3 linked regions of the Lonchura striata genome follow. The protein of the gene in region 3 purifies or fractionates together with the protein of the main gene of each other region. This does not show direct contact. Links are inferred from orthologs where the notes say so. Each region holds a gene or a part of one and is shown on either strand. Other genes may lie near its edges.

Region 1 (7,686 bases), on a different chromosome or scaffold from region 3:
CTTTAATTTGCTTCTCCACAAACACCCGGTTTAAAGATTTATTCAAATATGTAATGTTCTTTTAAAACCAAATCAAGATCACTTTTGCTCTGCTAGAACAATTTCGATGGTTAATTACATAATTATCCCGATATAGCTTCCCTGTAAGGCTTAGGTTTGCCAATTTGCTTTGCTTTGCAGGTTTTTATTGCTGGGAAAGACTGAAGATCTGAAAGAGCCATAAGTCATAAAAGAATTTGCAGAGGTTTATTGCACAGTTCATAAATGGAAAGAAACATGGTTAGTGAACTAACAACACAAATTCCTCACATAAATTGCTTTAATAAAACATGTTAGTCTTTACTAAGAAATTTTACTAAACTTATTGTCAGCTACAACTGAGATATAGATTTTTTTTCTCATTATATTACTTTTAAAGATAGTCTCTTATCCTAAGTGTCAAAAAATGTATGCTATAGACATTACATAACAACATAGAAGACAGCAAATATATTCTTAATTGGCAAAGAAAGTGCATTCTGTTATTACCACAAAATGGGAAACTTTCCAGGATGCTTGGTCTCTGCCATGTTCTCAGGAGACCACATCTTTAAACACAAGTCCTCAAGGCTGCTCTTCTGACACATCTTGGCGCCAGTAGAGATAACACAGTGCCCTCTTTGAGCACACGGCTTTGTTGTGTCAGCCTTTAAGTAGGTCATGCCAAGGAGCAGTTGCTATTTTGAACAGATCAGAGAAGAGAAACTTCATGGCAGTCCCTGACAGGGATCTGAGAGCACACGAGTGGTTCAGCAGAGCACCTTCACCAAGAGCTCCCACAGCTGGGATGGGACACCATCAGCCTCTTCTCCTATGGGCTCACACAGGACAGCTTCAGAGTGGCCAGTTCCTACTACAGAGTTCACACATGCTGACATCTTTTGTTTCAACATAGTTAAAACGAATCATTATCTACTCATGTGTCTGTGTTGTCCTTGTGGAATGTCTGCTCTGTCAAACATTCAACAGGTAGGTAAGCAAGGCCAAGCACCTATTTTCTTGACAATCATGTAATCACGAGGTTTCTTTTTTGACTGAGATGTTCTAACATCGGGCACTACATGTCAGTAAATGCAGATAAAGGTACATTCCTTCTGCTTACGGATAACAAGAACTAGAAGTTTCTTCAATACATTAGGGGAAATGATATTCAGCAGGTGAAATGTACTTCTGTGAGTAATAATCACAAAGTTGTTTATTATGCAGCTAATATTGCTTTTTCCTGATGTACAGAAGTAAATTAATTTAAAAAGTAGTAAATATTCAGGTTCCTTTCATAAAAATAATAACCTTCTGTCACAGGAAATCTTTGATGATTCAAATCCTACAGCTGCATAAGAATATTGCTAGCCATAAGCTTGTGAATAATCCCAGAAATAGATGAGATAGAAGCATTAATACATCTTGCTGCTTGAGATACAATGTAATAATATCTAACATAGCAACCAACTAAAACAGGTTTTCTGACATGTAAAACCTAGTAACAATTATGTTTAAAGCATTTTATTGAAATCTGTAGACAGATGTCTGTGTATATCTCATATGCTAGATGTTGTGGACTAGCACTGCACCTTCTACAGACTGAGCTTATATCTTGCTTTTTCCAGACAACTATTTCCACATGTGCTCATAGGTGTGGACACATCATTGTTGCTGCCCTGAATAAGACAGCACAGTCCCGCTGCATTTTTAATCACAGTGGAAAAATAAACTTGTTACAACATGAACTCAGTTTAGAAGACATAGCTTACCTCATAAGATAAACTAAGCACAGAAATATTTTTTGCATTACTCTGTGAAAAGAACCTATAAGTGCAACTAGATTATTAGGTTATTTTTCTGTCATGTGGAGCAGTTTTGAAGTGTTTGCCTTGCACACCTATCCTAAGTAAAAACACATCACTAAAATCCCTAAACTGAACATCACTAAAATCCCTAAACTGAGAAGTCTTAAAAATGGGGGATGGCTGATTACAGATGGTCCCTGTTAAAATTTACAGTAGTTTCTCCTTTTTTATAATGAAAAATGAGTATTTTTAAGTACACTTAAAACTGCTCTTCTGAGTAATTCTGGCTTACTAAAATACACTAACTTAAGAGAAAGGCTCCCTATTCTTTTTCCATTTTTAAAAATTAACTTCAAGGCTATTTGAAAAATTACCAGTACAAATTATGATTTCTGTCAAGAAACTGGCTGAACTCAGCCAAGCTGTGAGTTTGTACTCTGTTCCAATCTGAAAGTTCATGCTTGGATGAAAGAGGCACAGTTGTAAAAGTGTGAGATTTTTGGGGCTCTCTGTTAGAATTGTTTACCTGATGCTTTTGTCTAGATACAGTCCCTAAGTTTTGGTCAACTACATTTAGAGCCCCTATAATAAATATGTAAACAAAACTTGCAATAAATTAAGCTTAAAAAAATTCCTGTCCAGATTTTCTTTTTTTTTTTCATTTGGGGTGAAAAAGTGGTGAGAGTCTCCATCCTGGGGGCGACATAATGAGCTGTGAGCTGTGTGTGTTCTGATCCCACTCGCTGGGTTCCTGCTCCAGGATGCACACAGGCAACGAAGCTCATGGGCACACTGGCATCTGTGAACACCTCATGGGTGGGAATTTTCTCTCTTTTAGCTAAAAGAGGAAAAGAAATGTAAACAAACAAACTAAAAAACCCCAAATATCATAGGTTCCTATCTCAACCACCTGCTTTAAGCCTTTACCTCACACTCAGCCCCTAAGGTTTATCACACATACACTGCTGTCCCCAGCAGTGCCATGCCCTGCTGGGGTATGTCTGACCTGTCCAACACCAGCTGCCAGCGGAGCTGAGGTGGCAATGCAGATCGGTGTCTGACATGGCCATGTCACCTGTCCAACACCAGCCACCAGCGGAGCTGACGGAGCTGAGGTGGCAATGCAGATCGGTGTCCGACATGGCCATGTCACCTGTCTGACACCAGCTGCCAGCAGAGCTGAGGTGGCAATGCAGATCAGTGTCCGACATGGCCATGTCACCTGTCCGACACCAGCTGCCAGCGGAGCTGAGGTGGCAATGCAGATCAGTGTCCGACATGGCCATGTCACCTGTCCGACACCAGCTGCCAGCAGAGCTGAGGTGGCAGCACAGATTGGTGTCCAGCATGGCCATGTCACCTGTCCGACACCAGCCGCCAGCGGAGCTGAGGTGGCAATGCAGATCAGTGTCCGACATGGCCATGTCACCTGTCCGACACCAGCTGCCAGCAGAGCTGAGGTGGCAATGCAGATCAGTGTCCGACATGGCCATGTCACCTGTCCGACACCAGCTGCCAGCAGAGCTGAGGTGGCAATGCGGATCTGTGCCCCACATGGCCATGTCACCTGTCCGACACCAGCCACCAGCGGAGCTGAGGTGGCAATGCGGATCTGTGCCCCACATGGCCATGTCACCTGTCCGACACCAGCTGCCAGCGGAGCTGAGGTGGCAATGCGGATCTGTGCCCCACATGGCCATGTCACCTGTCCAACACCAGCCACCAGCGAAGCTGAGGTGGCAATGCAGATCAGTGTCCGACATGGCCATGTCACCTGTCCGACACCAGCTGCCAGCGGAGCTGAGGTGGCAATGCGGATCTGTGCCCCACATGGCCATGTCACCTGTCCGACACCAGCCACCAGCGGAGCTGAGGTGGCAATGCGGATCTGTGCCCCACATGGCCATGTCACCTGTCTGACACCAGCTGCCAGCGGAGCTGAGGTGGCAGTGCAGATCGGTGCCCGACATGGCCATGTCACCTGTCTGACACCAGCTGCCAGCGGAGCTGAGGTGGCAGTGCAGATCGGTGCCCGACACTCCTCACTAGGGCGGCAGCGGCCTCATCCCTGCAGCCCTCTGCCCATCACCTGCCTGAGGGAGCTGGGGGTGATTAGCCTTCAGAAAAGGAGGCTCAGGCGTGATGTTTTTGCTCTCTAAAACTGCCTGAAAGGAGGCTGCAGCCAGGTGGGGGTCAGCCTCTTTTCCCAGGCAACCAGCAACAGGGCCACAGGACTTAGCCTTAAGATGGCCCAAGGGAGGTTCAGGTTACACAAAAATAATTGTTAGACATTTGAATGGGCTGCTCAAGGAGGCTGTGGTGGCTGTCCCTGGATGTATTTAAGACTGGATGTGGCATTTAGTTGATATACATTGTACTGGATGACCTCAGGGCTTTTCCAGCCTGATTCTGTGTGGATGATGCCAGGCTGTGCAGGAACGTGGAGGAGTCACCATTCCTGGAGGAGTTTAAGAGGCATCTGGACTGGCGCTGGGTGATATGGTTTGGTGCTTTAGGGGCCACAGGTAGTGCTGTGTTGACAGTTGGACTTGATGACCTTAAGTGTCTCTTCCAACCTTGATGGTTCCATGATTCCATGATTCTATAATTCTATGATCCGATGAGTTTACGGCCCCATGACCCCAGCGGCACCGCGACTCCAGGCGCTGCCATGGCGCCCCGCCCGCCTGAGGCAACCCCGCCCCTGCCCGCGCCCTCGGCGGCCCCGCGGGCACCGCCCCGCCCGGGGGCGGAGCCGCGCCTGCGCACAGGGCGGGGCTGGGGCGGGGCTGGTGCTGCGGTGGGTGACGTCACCGCCCGCCCCTCCGGCGGGGCGGGGCGGGAGCCGCGGCCGCAGCCGCCATGGCCGGTGCCATGTTGGGGAGGAAGTGAGAGCGGGAGGCGGCGGCGGCGGCCAGGAAGGAGCCCTTCCCTTTTCCCTCCTGCCGGGGCGGGCGCGGCTTTCCCGGCCACGGCGGCTTGCGAGACCCCCCCGGTGCGGGCGGTGCGGCGGCGGCAGCTGGCGGCGGCGGAGCTGAGCGCCCCGGAGGCGGCGGCGGCCTAAGATGGCGGACCCGGCGGAGTGTAACATCAAAGTGATGTGTCGCTTCAGGCCCCTCAACGAGTCCGAAGTGGCCCGAGGCGACAAGTACATCGCTAAGTTCCAGGGCGAGGACACCGTCGTCATCGCGGTGAGGGCCCGCCCGGGCGGGAGAGGCGGGAAGCGCCGGGGGAGGGAGGGAGGGAGGGAGGGGGCGGCCGGGGTCGGCGGGGTCACGCCGCGGGGATGGGCGCGCTGTGGGGCGGGAGGGCTCGGAGCGCCCGCGGGCGGGGACCCTCGGGGCGGGGAGCGGCCTCCTTGGAGACCGAGGCGAAGGGGAAAGGGGGCAGGGACGGCTGCGGGCGGGGTGAGCCGGTCCGGGTATGGGGGGCGGTGGGGCAGGTCGGGAGACCTTTGACAAAGGCGCAAGTGCCGAGGTGCGGAGTGAGGGCGAGTCCCGCAGTGTCCGCCGGCCGGGCGCTGCCCGGGCCGGCCGGCCGTGCTGTGAGATGCTAAATGCACGCGTGGGGGCTGCCGCCCGATCGCTGTCTGCGGAGAGTTTGGGCAAGAAATGCGGAACGGCAGTGCAGGCTCCAGAGCTGTACATCGGTCTTCAGCTGATAGCTTCTTTTTTGTTGTTGTTAAATCAGAATAAACAGACCATTTGCCTTACTGCATGTTCCTAAGTGTATTTTAAGTGGAGTCTCCTTGCAAGGTCTCCTGTTAAAAACATTATGGATGTTGTAGGGGAAAAGATAATCCTTTCCTTTTTCTCCAGTGAATCATAGCTAGCTACAAAGTGGAGCTAGAATATAAAAATAAAGTGCAGTTGTTTGTTGCCTGGTTTGGTTGATGTTGTACAAACACACTTTAGCCCCAATGTTTGTTTTGTTTTTGTTAACTTTTAATTTGTGTTTTCGTGTAAATATATTTCATGAGAAACTGCTGATTCTTGCTGAAAGTAACTTAGAGACCAGTTATCTGTCTAAAAATTTTAGGGGTTTATGTTTTGTTTTTTGAGGCTACCAATAATAGCTTTTTTTGCACAGTATCTGAAGCTGCAGGAAGCAATAGAGGCAATTTAATAAAATACTTTTTTTGTAATAGGATTTACTAAATACTAGTGCTTTAGTCTGATAATATTCAGCTGAATTTGCCAATAAAATATGGAATTCCATGAGTCTGGAGTGACAAGAACAATAGCATTCTTGTGAAATGAGGTAATTTGGGTTTATTTCAGCTGGCAACTTACTATCTTGGAGTACATCACTTCTTCCTGAGGTTGTACAGGTAAACTCAGAGGAAGGAAGCAATCCTGGAAAATGGAAAATATAACTTGAGTGAATAATCTCACTTTCATCAGTAAATACCCATTCATTGTGACACTGCATAGTCTGTTTATAATCCACAGTTCATTGTAGAAACCCTAATGTGTTCTAACTTAAAAATAAATTTTCTTCAGTAGCCCTCGTATAAATGAAAGCTTATATTTCTAAAATATTCTTTAGGTGCATTTTTAAAATATCTAAAATGTAGAGGTAAATAAATATCTGAATATCTAAAATGTGCAGAGGTAGTTCTGTATCTGAGTAGAACAATTTGACATTATGTTCCTGAGGGATCAGGTGGGCTTTCTGTTCAGAATTGATGTTTAGTGTTGCCAGCTGTACCTTGGTGATTTCACCTTGGAAAAAATCACAACAGATTTCCTAGTTGTCCTGGATCCAGGACTTGCCATGTCTAACTTGGGGGAAGATGCCCCCAAAATTATTAAATGGGGTAGCAGTGACAGTATTTGTGTCTTGTTTCACAAAATTTGAATAAAGGTTTGATAATCTCTGATTTTGTATTTGTATAATGATGGCTATAGGACAAGATTGATATACTCAAAATTTTGACTTGAATCTCTAAAACTGTTGACAATAACTTGTGTTTGGTGCTTTTGTTTTCAATAGCTTGAGTGAGTTTTTACAAATTTAGAGAGCCTCTAACCTGGGCCTGTAGTCAGGCACCACTTCTTTCTGTGTGTTGCAGAATTGCCCAAGGGAGGATAACAGAAGCAGTGCTCCTGAAACAGTGTCTGAAAGGCTTCCTCCATAAGCTGTGTGTGTGGTTACCTCAGCTCTTTGGTTTCTGCCCTTGTTGCTGCCTGTTGAGCAGTAATTGAGCCACTTTTGGTTTTTTATAGCTGCTTCCCTCAGCTGCCTGAAGGACTTGCACCTCCCGTGGGTGCCTGGCTCGGGGCTGGAGCAGTGGAGGCTGCCTTAATAATCCTGGGAGTTGCCTGTGATGGTCGATGGGAGGGGAAGACTGGGAGGCAGCAGAGCTGATCCCAGGCTGCAGGTTTGACTCCTCTGGAGGAGGGTGGGGAGGAAAATCAGTGACTATAGCCAAACCCTCCTCCTTCCTTGATTCCCCTGTCATCTCTGAGCTAGCTGTCTTCCCTTCTTTTCCTAGCTCCTGCAAAATTAATGTCATCTTTGTCTTTCTGGACAAGTGAGTCATTTTGATCTGTGTTAGATAAAATAAAAGTTTTAACTGTAGCTAGTGTGTAACAGCAGTTTTAGGGGACATAATGGTGTTGGTCTGCTTTAAAGAGCAGATTCTGAAACACAGTATTTTCTTTCCACAGGATGAAACTTTTTAACTAGTAAAGGGCTTTTAATTTTTTAATTGCAGGTGACTTCTTTCTATCTCAATAGTATATTAATTATTTTTTCCTAATGGCTTCTTCTGTTAATTAAATACAAGGATTTTGTTAAAACAGATTACTCATTATATGACTTTTATGTTAAACATTAGAAATGTACCTGTATGTGA
Region 2 (6,868 bases), on a different chromosome or scaffold from region 3:
TCCTTTTCCAAACCATCACAGTTACTGTTTTCCCAGCCAACAGATATTTTATAGACAAAGACACATTATGAGTGGGGAAAAGAGAATTCTAAACTCCGATTCTCTTCAAAACGCTGTAAAGGATTTACAGGAGCTGCATTTTAATCTGCTTTTAATATGTCTGAGGGTTTATTGATTTAGGGGGAGGGGAGCTCGCTGACATTTGTTTCTTAAACATCACAATGGCACAGAGACATTTTCCCTCCCAATATCTGCTGGCCAAATCCAGCCCTCTGCTGCTGCCCAAGATTGATAACCAATTTGATTATTCTATTGTTAACAGGCTGCTGGGGGTGCCACAGCTTTAACCTTCACAGAAAGACAATTAATTTGGCAGGACAAGAGGGCATTTCATATTAAAAGAAAATAACAACCACAAGCTGTTTATGCTCATAATTCACACTTTTTTTTTTTCCCTCCCCTCACGGCTGTTCTGCAACTTTCACCAGCAAAGTTTCTGATGACCTCAAGGTTCTGGTTAAGGATTTTAACAAATTGTGCAAGGAGCTGTGCTGGCAATTAATTGTAGGGTCTTTTCATCACCATACAGCAGAGAACATGTTATTGATGACCAGCATATGAAATAGATGTCACAGATGACCAGCATATGAAATATTTATATATCATATAATATATATAATAAATATATATGAAATAAAGCACCACAGACCAGGCTAAACCAAAAATCTGACCGTGAACCCCCACCCAAAGTGGCACTGGGGGTTCTGAGCGCTGCCCTCTGAGGGACCTGCTCCAGGAGAGGGAAAGGAGAGGGAATGGGAAAATGGAGAGGGCAAGGGGAAAGGGAGAGGGAAATAGGAGAGGGAAATGGGAGAGGGAAAATGAGAGGGAGAGGGAAAATGAGAGGGAGAGGGAAATGGGAGAGGGAAAGGGAGAGAGAAAAGGAGAGGGAGAGGGAAAAGGAGAGGGAGAGGGGAAAGGAGAAGGAGAGGGGAAAGGAGAGGGAAAAGGAGAGGGAAAAGGAGAGGGAGAGGGAAAAGGAGAGGGAGAGGGAAATGGGAGAGGGAAAGGGAGAGGGAAATGGGAGAGGGAGAGAGAAAAGGAGAGGGAAAAGGAGAGGGAGAGAGGGAAGGGGGAAAGGGAGAGGGAAATGGGAGAGGGAGAGAGAAAAGGAGAGGGAAAAGGAGAGGGAAATGGGAGAGGGAGAGAGAAAAGGAGAGGGAAAAGGAGAGGGAGAGAGGGAAGGGGGAAAGGGAGAGGGAAGCTGCTGGGCTGGGAAGGAGCCGCATCCCGAGCCTTTGTTCCCATGAAAGCCCTGGAGCAGCCGAGCCCCAGCAGAGCGCGGGGGGCGCGCAGGGCCGGGCGGGGATGGGGGGTGGAGGCGATTTGGGTCCATTTCATCGTTTTAAACGCGGAAATTTAAAAAAAAAAAAAAAAAAAACTCGGGCGGCATCCCGCAGCGCTGCTCAGCGCTCCGCGGGGCTGCCGGGCACGGGGATGCCGGGGTGGGGATGGGGATCCGGGATGGGGATGGGGATGGGGATGGGGATCCCGGGATGGGGATGAGGATCCCGGGATGAGGATTCCAGGATGAGGATGGGGATCCCGGGATGGGGATGAGGATGGGGATTCCGGGATGAGGATGGGGATCCCGGGATGGGGATGAGGATGAAGATCTCGGGATGAGGATGAGGATCCCGGGATGGGGATCCCGGGATGGGGATGGGGAATCCGGGATGGGGATGGGGATCCCGGGATGGGGATGGGGATCCCGGGATGGGGATGAGGATGGGGAATCGAGGATGGGGATGGGGATCCCGGGATGGGGATGGGGATCCCGGGATGGGGATGGGGATCCCGGGATGAGGATGCGGATCCCGGGATGAGGATGCGGATCCCGGGATGGGGATCCCGGGATGGGGATGAGGATGGGGAATCGAGGATGGGGATGGGGATTCCGGGATGGGGATGGGGATCCCGGGATGGGGATCCCGGGATGAGGATGCGGATCCCGGGATGGGGATCCCGGGATGGGGATGAGGATGGGGAATCGAGGATGGGGATGGGGATTCCGGGATGGGGATGGGGATCCCGGGATGGGGATCCCGGGATGAGGATGGGGATCCCGGGATGGGGATCCCGGGATGCGGCTCCGGTGCCGGCGCTGCCGCAGGGGCGCGGCGGAGGCGCGGGCGGCCGCCCCAGTCGAGCATGCCCAGTCCCCGACATGACATCAGCGCCCGAGCCCGCGGCTCCCCCGCGCCCCCCGGACCCCCGGGACCCCCGGCACCCGCGGGGACCCCCGGGCCGCTCGCCCGGTGGGTCGGGGACAGCCCGGACGGGGGGACGCGGGCAGCGCCGCCGCCCCCATCCCGCTCCGCGGCTGCGGCAACAATGGAGGGATGGAGGGATGGAGAGGGTGGGGGGATGGAGGGATGGAGGGATGGAGGGATGGAGGGATGGAGGGGAATGGAGGGATGGAGGGGATGGAGGGATTGGGGGATGGAGGGGATGGAGGGATAGAGGGATGGAGGGGATGGAGGGGATGGAGAGGATGGGGGGAATGGAGGTTGGAGGGGATGGAGGGATTGGGGGGATGGAGGGGATGGAGGGATGGAGGGATGGAGGGATTGGGGGGATGGAGGGGATGGAGGGATGGAGGCGATGGGGGGGATGGAGGCGATGGGGGGGATGGAGGTTGGAGGGGATGGAGGGCATGGAGGGAATAGGGGGGACCCGCCGGGAGCGCTCGGGGGGTGATGCTCGCCCCGAGAGGAGGGACGCTCGCCCCGCCCGCGCGGGATGCGGGATGCGGGATGCGGCAGACTCACCCCGATGACCACGGTCTCGTCGCCCTTGAATTTGGGGATGAATTTGTCGCCGCGCAGGATCTCGGCCTCGTTGAGGGGCCGGAAGCGGCACATCACCTTGATGCTGCACTCGGCGGGGTCCGCCATGGCGGCGGCGGGCCCGGCGCTGCGCGGGGCAGCGGCGGCGGCGGCGGGCGGGACCGGGGCGGGGCGGGGACCACCGGGCGGGGCGGGACCGGGGCTGGACCGGGGCTGGACCGGGACCGCCGGGCGGGGCCGGGGCTCGCAGCCCGGGCGGTGCTCGCAGCCCGGACACGCCCCGGGCCGTCCCGCAGACCCGCGGGGATGCGCGGAGCCGCCCCGGAGTGACCCCGGGGCCGCCCCTCCCAGCGCCCAGGGACAGCTCATTCTGCTCGGGGCACCTTCCATCACTCCAGGGACACTTCTACTGTCCCCTGGGACACCTTCCATCACTCCAGGGACACCTCCACTGTCCCCTGGGACACCTTCCATCACTCCAGGGACACCTCCACTGTCCCCTGAGACACCTTCCATCACTCCAGGGACACCTCCACTGTCCCCTGGGACACCTTCCAGTGTCCCAGGGACACCTCCACTGTCCCCTGAGACACCTTCCATCACTCCAGGGACACCTCCACTGTCCCCTGGGACACCTTCCATCACTCCAGGGACACCTCCACTGTCCCCTGAGACACCTTCCATCACTCCAGGGACACCTCCACTGTCCCCTGGGACACCTTCCAGTGTCCCAGGGACACCTCCACTGTCCCCTGAGACACCTTCCATCACTCCAGGGACACCTCCACTGTCCCCTGGGACACCTTCCATCACTCCAGGGACACCTTCCATCACTCCAGGGACACCTCCACTGTCCCCTGAGACACCTTCCATCACTCCAGGGACACCTCCACTGTCCCCTGGGACACCTTCCATCACTCCAGGGACACCTTCCATCACTCCAGGGACACCTCCACTGTCCCCTGAGACACCTTCCAGTGTCCCTGGGACACCTTCCAGTGTCTCAGGGACACCTCCACTGTCCCCTGGGACACCTTCCATCACTCCAGGGACACCTCCACTGTCCCCTGGGACACCTTCCAGTGTCCCTGGGACACCTTCCATCACTCCAGGGACACCTTCCAGTGTCCCTGGGACACCTTCCATCACTCCAGGGACACTTCCACTGCCTCCAGGGACACCTTCCAGTGTCTCAGGGCCACCTCCACTGCCCCAGGGACACCTTCCATCACTCCAGGGACACCTCCACTGTCCCCTGAGACACCTTCCAGTGTCCCCAAGGACACCTTCAATTCTCCCACGTTGCTCCAAGCCCCATCCAGCCTATCCTGGGTATTTCCAGGGATCCAGGGGCAGCCACAGCTGTTCTGGACAATCTCTGCCAGGGTCTCCACACCCTCACAGCAAAGGATTTCTTCCATTTCTCTGAACTAAATTTCCCCGAGTCTCTCTCCAGCTTCTTCCAGATGCTGGAAGCTGCTGTGGGCTCTCCACACAACCTTCACCACTCAACCTTCCCCACACAACCTTCCCCACACACTCAACCTTCCTCACACAACCTTCCTCACACAACCTTCTCCCCAGCATTCCCAACCTCTCCTAGGGAAGGTGCTCTAGTTTCCACATCAGCTTCGTGGTGACCCTCTGAATTTGCTCCAATATGAAACATTCATACATAATATCATATATATAATAAATATATATTAAATAAAGCACCACAGACCGAGCTAAACCAAAAACCTGCCCGTGAACCCCCACCCAAGCCCCCCTCTCCAAGCTCCAAGCTGCCCTTGGTGTCTCCCCTCAGCATCTTTCTCCCTCTGCCCCAGCTGGATCCAGGTTAAAGGATGTTTTTCCTGGGATGTCGCTCTGGGAGGAGCAGCAGGAGCAGTGGTGCCTCTGGTGCCTAGTTTAGGGCAAATTTGGGGAAAACCCTCTGGAAGGAGCCCTCAGGAAACAAATCCCCACGGCCCCTCCCCACCCACCTGGTTCGGGAAAAAAATTTCCTCTGAGAGAAGTGGAAAAGAACCTGTTTATTTCACAAACAAAGCACCCCCAGCACCAAAGAAAATAACAACACCAGATGACAACAAAACTCCTTCACCACTCTGAAAAGGTGACAAATCCAGACTTTCCTGGGAGTGGTCGCTGGGGATTGCTCTGGGCACTGGGGACGGATGCTGCAGATCACAAAATGCAGGCTCTGGGTGCTCCTCGGGGTTTCCAGGGTGGATGGTATTCAGGAAAAGGAAAAGGGAAAGGAAAAAAAAAGAAAAAGGAGGGAAAGAAGGAAAGGAAAGGAAAGGAAAGGAAAGGAAAGGAAAGGAAAGGAAAGGAAAGGAAAGGAAAGGAAAGGAAAGGAAAGGAAAGGAAAGGAAAGGAAAGGAAAGGAAAGGAAAGGAAAGGAAAGGAAAGGAAAGGAAAGGAAAGGAAAGGAAAGGAAAGGAAAGGAAAGGAAAGGAAAGGAAAGGAAAGGAAAGGAAAGGGAAAGGAAATGGGAAGGGAGCCTCCTGCTCCTCTCCAGGGAGGCTGTGCTCGTCCTCCTCCCCTAAAAACGCTCCTTCCTTACCTGCTGCAATCACCTGCAGCTCTCCCTCCTGCCTCGTTCATGGTTTGGAACACTCTGAAATACCACAGGAATTTCCTCCTCCTCCTCCATCAGTCTCTCCCGACAAGAATCTCCTGCTTAAAAAGAACCCAAACATCCATGATGCCTTCTTGGAAGCTGCTGGCCCTGGTTTCCACCAGAGTTTCATTCAACCACCCTCAGCTGTGAAATTAAGATGAGGGTGGACAACCCTGCAGCATTTTGATGGAAATCTCCCTTTTTTTTGCAGTCATTACCTGAGGTGGATGTGAGGAGCAGGCTGGCCACAAAGCCTCTCACGCCCTTCTTAAAATCAATTCCATGGGGGAGAGTTAGCAATGTGCAGCATGTGATAAGCCATTATTACATAATGGGATTTATTCCCGTGGATTACCAATTATCCCTTTTATTTCTCTTATGTTTCAAGCTTTTACCCTGAATAGCAAATTTGTTAGTCATGACAAGCAGGGGCTTAGTCATAAAAGACAAGTCTTTGGGTGAATTAATCCTTATTTTCCTCCATTATGGAGAGCTCATTTTGGAGTGAGATAAGCAAAACTCGATTTTTCTCTCGGAGCAGGTATAATCTGCCATCAGAAGAATGCAGAGAGCCATCTTTTCCCAGCAGCTTTGTCACATACAACGTGACATTGTCTGGAGCGCAGACAATACTGAATTGTCACCCAGCTGGATCTATTTTTACTACTTATCACCAGATTAGGTGAAGCAGCCTGGTAGGAATGTGAATTTTCAGCCAGATTTGGGGGTGATCAGCGCCTCCCTGGGTCTGTGAGCTTCTCCCAGGCAGGGCTGGGTGCCTGAAGGTGGGATGGACAGTTTGGTGGGAACCTGCTTTATAAAAACCATGAAAATACAGAAAAGCAGAGCTTAAATACTTCATTGTTTTCACCTTCATTCGTTTCTTTCACCTCTCAAACCATGTCATTTTTTCAGCTGTACACTTGCAAGAAATCCACTTAGATACACGTTTTGCTGAGCTTACTTACACCTGAACATATGAAAATTGCCTTCCTTCCAGCACCACAAAAAGAGAACCTGGGTTTTCTCTCCTGTTCCCCCTTTCCCAGCTCCCCAGTTTAGCTCACCCTGGCAGACCAGATATGGTTTGACAGCAACTTCTGATTTTTCCTGAAGAAATTCCCCAGCTGAGCCAACTTCAGCTCGGTAAACATCCCAAGATATCAGAATAATGAATGGGAATAATAAAGGAATAACAAATCCCTTCCTCCTCGAGGACTGGGATCATAAAGGAATGAGAAAATTCCATTTCTCTCCAGGGGAGCCAAGGTGTTGAGGCTGCAGGAAAACCAGGGAGGGGACAGGTGACAAAGCAGGACAGGGACAGTGACAGAGGTGATCCCACAGAAATGGGGGTGATGCTTTGTCAAGGCTGCCCCAGAGCAGAGGCTGG
Region 3 (6,848 bases):
TGTTAATTTAACTAGACTTAGCATGCTTGTCCCCATCACTGTCCGTGATGCTGCACTTCAACAGTGAATACAAAAGTACACTTTGCTTATTTATGAATTTACCCAAATTTCTGTATTTTTTACTCCGCTTACGGAAACTTTATTTGACAAGTATTTGTACACTGAATTGAGTTTTAAAATAATCATGAGCTATGCAGCTGGAGAGATGCTGTTAATCCCAGAGTAAATTCAATTGCACGTCTCCCAGAGAAGTCAAACAGAAGAAGAGATGAAAGAGTAACTGCACAAGCCCACATTTCAAGAGAAACAGAAGCTACATTAAATGGACTCAGAACTGAATATAAGGCTACATTATTTCCCCAAACCCCCAATTAAATAGGAGACATATGCAGATATGTATGCATACACAAAAAGATACAGAGAGAGAGAGAGATATGTGTACTGTATGAGCAGCACATGAGTGAGAGGTCTCTGACATTAGCATGGCAAGTTCTCCATAAACACAGGAAGCAGCAATTGTCCTTATATGCCTTAAACATCTGTCCAGTGTATTTTGTTCTATGTCAAAAACATTCAGATTGTGCTTGGGACTCCTGCACATTTAATTACAAATTATGTATGTGAGTCCTCTGTTGTATATTAGAGACCTTTTAAAATAATCCATTCCATTAATAAGGCATTATTAACCATATAATAGGAATTTGACAAACCATGAGGCTACTTCACAGGGCCTTTGGGGGGTAACTTTATTCTCTGTTTTAATTATATATGGTAGCAAGTAAAGGGAATCTGTGCACTAATTGCTGTTAGAATTTCTGACTACTGGAATTCTTCAGCTCCATCATCATCCTTCAGAAACATGAAGGCTGCCAAACTTGAACTGCAACATGATGCAGAAGTGATACTGCATTGATGAGCCAGTTTCAGGAACAGACAATTTAAATTTCCTGCACTTGCCCACATGCTTCTCCATTATGTGAAATGTCTACCTAAATGGAGCTGCCAGAATTCTCCATAGCTGTTCTAATTTCATGGAAAAGGTCCTCCTGAACCATGTGGTCACAAAAATAATTGCGCAAGTGACTTACAAGGTCTTCTGCTCAGCCTCACCAGATGGATCAGCTTTCTCTCTGCTGCCAGTAAATGCTGAATGTGTAACTTCCAATTGTATCTGTAATCCTAGGGTTATAACATCCTCTATCATGTTTCGCTGAAGCTTTGGAATTCATACTCAATTAAAATAAAGCTATCTTCCAAAAGAGTTTTAAACCAACTGTGCACTCGAAAAGGTGCTGCTTTCAGTTTAGTAGGGATTTTTTTTTAATCAAAATGCGAAGCTGTCTAAATTCTCAACAGCTCCTCTTTATCTTCCAATGGACACACTTTGTACATAAGTTTCCTATTTAAGTGATGAGCAAATGCAAAAGTGGAAGTGAAAGAGACAATTACTTTGCAGAGCAATTTTTGTTAAACCTTTTGTCAAGCACAACACAGCTAAAACTGAATCTTAACTGGTTTAGTTTCTTCTATTATGTCTAAACATGAAAGCATGTTATATGAATGACACTGGCTCACTATTTTGCTGTTCAAATCAAACTATAAAAACAGACTTTTGCTTTTTCCTAGTCAGTTTTGTTTTCTGAGTCTGTATTCTGACTTCATGACCAGTATCTTGAGTACTGATACTACTTTTACATCATATCCATTAATGGAAATTACTTAATACAAAAAAAAACTTATTAAGAGCTCCATCACTGATTAGCCACCTTCAAAAGCCACACAAGAGTATTACACTAGGTGATGCCACATTGGTCATTAAAATGTGCTTCAATATGCCTAGAACACAGAATTCAATAAGTGTTAAGAACTTTCCTTATTCTGATTACATACAACTGCTATGCAGATCTATAAATACGGCATCTTGTTACTTAGAAATATCAGAAAGACAAAAGCAAAATGAATAAGGTTTTAAAGTGTCCTTCTAATCAATCTCTGCTCTAAAGATACAGTTAGTTATCAATTAAATAAATTCTATATTTTTGCTAGATTAACGCGTTTCTAACCAATGCTTGCCTTATTCTGAGGGTGCAGAAATCCAGGCAAGACCTAAGTCTATATGAATCGCCTCCGACTACAGCAAGGCAGGTGACCTACAATGTATAAATCCGGTCACTGTGTACAAAGCCCAGAGAAGACCTGTCCTCGCCTCGCCCTCCAGCAGCTCGGACCTGGCAGCGGCAGAGCGCGGAGCCGGGGGAGCGCAGACAAAGCGCCGCACGCCCGGGGCCGCAGGCCGAAGCCTCCCCAGCCCTCTGCCCGCTCCCTCCCAGGGCGGCGCCCGCCGCAGCACCGAGGGGAGCCGGGAGAGGAAACGGGGACAAAGCCGAGCCGATCCCCATCCTCAGGCACGTACCCCTGCCCGCAGCCGAGCGCAACTGACAAAACGCCCAAAAACAGCCTCCCCAAAAAGCCACCCCGCCCTGGGCGCGGAAGGACGGGGCCGGCTGTCAGCGGCGGCGCCGCGGGGGCACCGGGCGGCCCGCGCAGCCTTTTGTTATTTGCGCAGCGGCGGATGAAAAGGGAGGGGAACTGAACGCCCCAGGCACCCGCACCCAAACACACACGCACATACACACATACACACATACACGCACACACACACACACACAAACCCCGCGTCCCGGCCCTGCGGCTCCCCCCGCTCACCGCTCGGTGCTGCAGCTCGGGCGATGTGCGCAGCGCTCGCTGGGGCGGCGGGGGCCGCGCAGCCCGGGGCGGGGAGGCGGCCGGAGGAGGATGTCAGCGATGGGCGGGCGAAAGGGAGGAAGGAAAAGGGTTTTTTGGGGGGAGAGAGGAGCGGAGAGAGGGAGGGAAGGCGAGAAAGAAGCGAGTCAGCACCACGGCGCGCCCAGTGCTCCCCGCAAGGCGCTGCAGGGCCGCGGTGGTCGGCGCCGGCGGAGCGGGCGCTGACAGCTGCCGGCAGCCGCCACCACCGCCCCGGCTGCTGCTGCTGCGGCTGCGGCCGCCGCCCCGGTCCCGGTCCCGCCCCGCGCTCCCCTCCCTCCTTCCCTCCCGCCCCGCCTGACATGGCGGCGCCCCCCTTCTCCCACAAGCGCCCGCGCGCCCTTCTCTCCCAGCGCCCCCCTCACGGCGCCATCCCTGCCCGGGAGCGGCGGCGCCGCGCGGGATGCTCGGCGCAGCTCCGGGCTTCAGGGGCATCCCCGAGGCTGCCAGTGCAGCCGCGCTAAACCTCGCTAGGATTTGCCTCAAGTGGATGTCAGTGCAGAGCAGATCCCGGCGTTTCCTCGGGGCGCCCTGGGTGACACCGGGGCGGTTTCGCTCCACTGCTGGTGCTCTTGGCGCTGGTTTGACCTACTCCCGTGGAGAGAAGTTCAGGGTTATGGTAACTGCAGGACTCGTGAAACTGATGTCCCCATCTCAGTTGGATGCCTCTGGGAAAATCTTCCACGCCCTTTAAAAAGGACATTGAGGTGCTGGAGTGTGTCCAGCAAAGGGCAGCAAGGCTCGTGAAATGTCTAGAAAACGTGTCTTATGGGGAATGGCTGAGGGACCCGAGTTGGTTTGGTTTCAAGACGAGGAGGCTCAGGAGGAACCTCATCATTCTCTGGAATAGGTTGCCCGGGGAGCTGGTGGAGCCACCACCCCAGAGGTGATAAGAGGCACCTGGATGTGGCACTGGGCAATGTGGTTTAGTGGTCATGGGGTTACAGGGGCAGTGCTGGGTAGATGGTTGAACTGGAAAATCATGAGGGTCTCTTCCAACCATGACTTCATGAAATATGCTTGAAAATCCCCGCAGTTTGCAACGGCTCAATGGAGCGAGTCACAGAGAAATAAGCTGAAGGAGAAGTACTGTGTTAAAGGTTGCCCACCACACAGAGCTCAGTGAGTGTTGCCAATATATTTCAATGCCTTCATCTTTGTTCTGCGGGGAAGTAAGTGAAAGGTCCCTGCTCTTACACATATTTATACATGAAAAGTAAGAGTTCCATGAGAACTCAGTGACACTTGTCACAAGAACTATTTATTTGCAGCTTCCAATTTCATTCCCACTCTTGCTAGAGAGGAAGGAACAGCCACAGTATTTTCATGTTATGTTCCACTAGTTAGACGTTAAGCCCAGAAAGGAAAGATGGAGGGAACTGAGGTATAAGATAGAAAAAAAATTAAAATAACCATTCAAAAACCCAAACAAACAAACAATACAACAAAAACAAAGACCCCCCCAAAAAAAAAACCAAGCACTCAAAACATTAATTATAGCAAAGCTGTAAAATGTACACTGTAAATCATCAGGGATTAGTGACAGCCTAACTTTATGAAAGAGTTGTATTGTGATGCATTATCACCTGAGCTCCACATAGAATAGAATAGCATTGTTCAGTGGAAGGGGACCTGCAATATGTACAGGGTGTGAATCATAACCTAATAGAAGAACATAGAGGTATAGTGGTAAATCAAAATATGCAGCCTCACCTAAGTGGTAATATTTAAAGTATTAAAGGAAAGCAGAGCTTGCATATGTTTGCCCTCATGTACAATGCTGAGCAAGTCTACAGAATAGATGTGAGAACAAGAGTCGGGTGAGAAAGCAAGGCTCCTAAGAATAAGCAGGAAGTCAGAAGAGGAATCAAAGCTAATGCTGTTGTCAAAGAGGCAGAAGAACAGGAAGAGTCACAGAAGCCCACAAGAAACAAAGCAAAGTTAGGGGAACATAGATAGTCTTCAGACTGTAAATACAGAGAATCATTGCTGGATTTGAAAAGCTGAGGGAAATAAAGTATACTTACTGAATTCCACTCTCTGATTGATATTTTACACAGATCCAGCTGTCCAGCAAAACCCAGTTTTGATACAAGTATTTCCAAGCAGCAGTTCTTGTATTCTTCATCTCAATTTAAAACTTTTCTCTGGCAATTTTATATTAATGGTTTAATTAACCACATTTTAGTTTTAACAGGCAATACAACCTAATTATAACAGTGTGAAATATCTCTTTGCACAGTAATACGAAAGGGGGAAAAAGATTGAAGGGCATTCCCTTACAGAAACTACATTTTAAAGAGTTATACCAATTGGTTCACAGGTTCAGAGTATTCTCATGAATATGCAAGAGCTTTAATTAAAAATAGAACATGCCCTAATTACATAATTATGCAAGAGAACTGATTCAAAGGAACCACTCCTGCCTTTTGAATAAACAATATTCATTGCTTTCTTCCTATCACACATTTTCTTTAAAAGATTTCCTGCAATTAGCTGCTTACCCCAGGGATATGAGCATCCCTGAACAAAGCAACTACTCCAGCTATGACCCTGATTCATAATATGCTGGCTAATCAAGTATATGCATCCTGGCAATTTCCCACATAAACAGCACACACTATAAGCTCTCTCCTGCAGGAAGGTTGATTAGCTCAATGGAACTATAGTGCAGTTTACTCCTCTGTGTTTATGGCACACAGCAGAAGCTAGACACAGGAGAGACTTGGTGAAGATGATTTTTCCTCAAGCTACTGCCTGACCTGAAATATCCAAAGAGTTCCTCTTCATTTGGATCTTGTTTTTCCTGTCTCATCTACATGAGAATTATCCAGGTTCATCTAGCAGTAAAAACTATTCACTGCCCACATTTCCATTTTATCTTAAGGAACTGGTTATGCTGCAAGCCCTGATTTTTTGATTAAATTATCGAGATATGCTGTCTCTAGTATATTATGAAATCACAGAGTCAATTAGGTTGGAAAAGACCTCTGAGATTATCAAGCCCAACCTATGACCTAACACAACCATGTCAACTAGACCATGGCACTAAGTGCCATATCCAATCTTTACTTAAACACCTTCAAGGATGGTGACTCCTATGATCCTTTGCCTATCACCAGCAAAGTCACCATTGTTTTCTGCAGACTCCTGAGTGCATGCCAAAACAAAACCCCAAAACTAATTATTTACAATGCTGGATTCTTTAGTCTCAATATTCCAATTTCCCTCTACTCCCAGAAGAGAGAGGGAGGTTTGTAATGCACAGTGGGAGAGCAAAAAGCAAACAGTTCAACTAATGCAGCACAAAGCTCTGTGGTTTTTGAAGTGCAACAGTGTGAGAAATACACACAGTGAACTGAGGTCAGCTTACCTGACATTCAGAAATGGGGCAAACCTCTAAAGAAATTCAGGTTCACTTCCTTTAAGAAGTGTGGGTCATTTTATTTTACAGTTTGTGATGGGTTGACAGTGGCCAAATGCCACCAGCACACCATTGTACTAAAAAAATACATCCTTCTGTCTTAGAGGATCTTCCCATCCAAAGAGATTTTTTTTTTTTAATCTAATCTTATAGTCTATAAAATCTATGACATAATTTTAGAAATATGGCCACAATAAAGTACTATATTGGAGTAATTTTAACTGCTGCTAAACTGCTATTTAAAAGCATCCTGGCAATAATAAATATTGAAAGGCCAGATTCAGCAATCTGGCTGGTTTTTCATCAAAACCACTTGACAGTTGCATATGTTTTAGTTTGTATTTCCTACAAGAACATCCTTTATGGAAAAGAGGAGACATAAAAACCAGTGCTCAAGACTCAGAAATGTCAAGCACCCAGTCCTAGGCACAATTTTAGCCCAACTCTTTTCTTCATATGTACAATTACTGCATGCAGAGCTACCTTTTTGTGAGAAAATTCAGGCACTTTGGGGTAAAAGGAGTGTGTTTTGCTTTGCTTGACTCATTGTCAAATGCCTGAACTTACCATTGGGAACCTACTGTCAGGCAAGGCATTAATTCTTAGTAAAATAAACACTGATCATGGTCCTGCTTCCCAA

Evidence for each region. The genes of interacting proteins can lie anywhere in the genome.
Region 1: the proteins of KLC1 (region 3) and KIF5B purify together in Homo sapiens (co-immunoprecipitation; 11 studies listed by BioGRID and IntAct, counting the BioPlex papers as one, with this or other methods). This does not show direct contact. The link is inferred for Lonchura striata from reciprocal best matches to the Homo sapiens genes KLC1 and KIF5B.
Region 2: the proteins of KLC1 (region 3) and KIF5C purify together in Homo sapiens (co-immunoprecipitation; 4 studies listed by BioGRID and IntAct, counting the BioPlex papers as one, with this or other methods). This does not show direct contact. The link is inferred for Lonchura striata from reciprocal best matches to the Homo sapiens genes KLC1 and KIF5C.

Annotation. Positions count from the first base shown.
Region 1 is NC_134603.1:142,639,688-142,647,373, reverse strand, and holds the start of KIF5B (kinesin-1 heavy chain), read left to right. Parts: upstream 1-4,679; 5' UTR 4,680-4,891; coding exon 4,892-5,017; intron 5,018-7,686. UniProt on the Homo sapiens protein: Microtubule-dependent motor required for normal distribution of mitochondria and lysosomes. Can induce formation of neurite-like membrane protrusions in non-neuronal cells in a ZFYVE27-dependent manner.
Region 2 is NC_134610.1:2,291,542-2,298,409, forward strand, and holds the start of KIF5C (kinesin heavy chain), read right to left. Parts: upstream 3,008-6,868; 5' UTR 2,958-3,007; coding exon 2,832-2,957; intron 1-2,831. UniProt on the Homo sapiens protein: Microtubule-associated force-producing protein that may play a role in organelle transport. Has ATPase activity. Involved in synaptic transmission. Mediates dendritic trafficking of mRNAs.
Region 3 is NC_134608.1:9,984,712-9,991,559, forward strand, and holds the start of KLC1 (kinesin light chain 1), read right to left. Parts: upstream 3,021-6,848; 5' UTR 2,707-3,020; intron 1-2,706. UniProt on the Homo sapiens protein: Kinesin is a microtubule-associated force-producing protein that may play a role in organelle transport. The light chain may function in coupling of cargo to the heavy chain or in the modulation of its ATPase activity.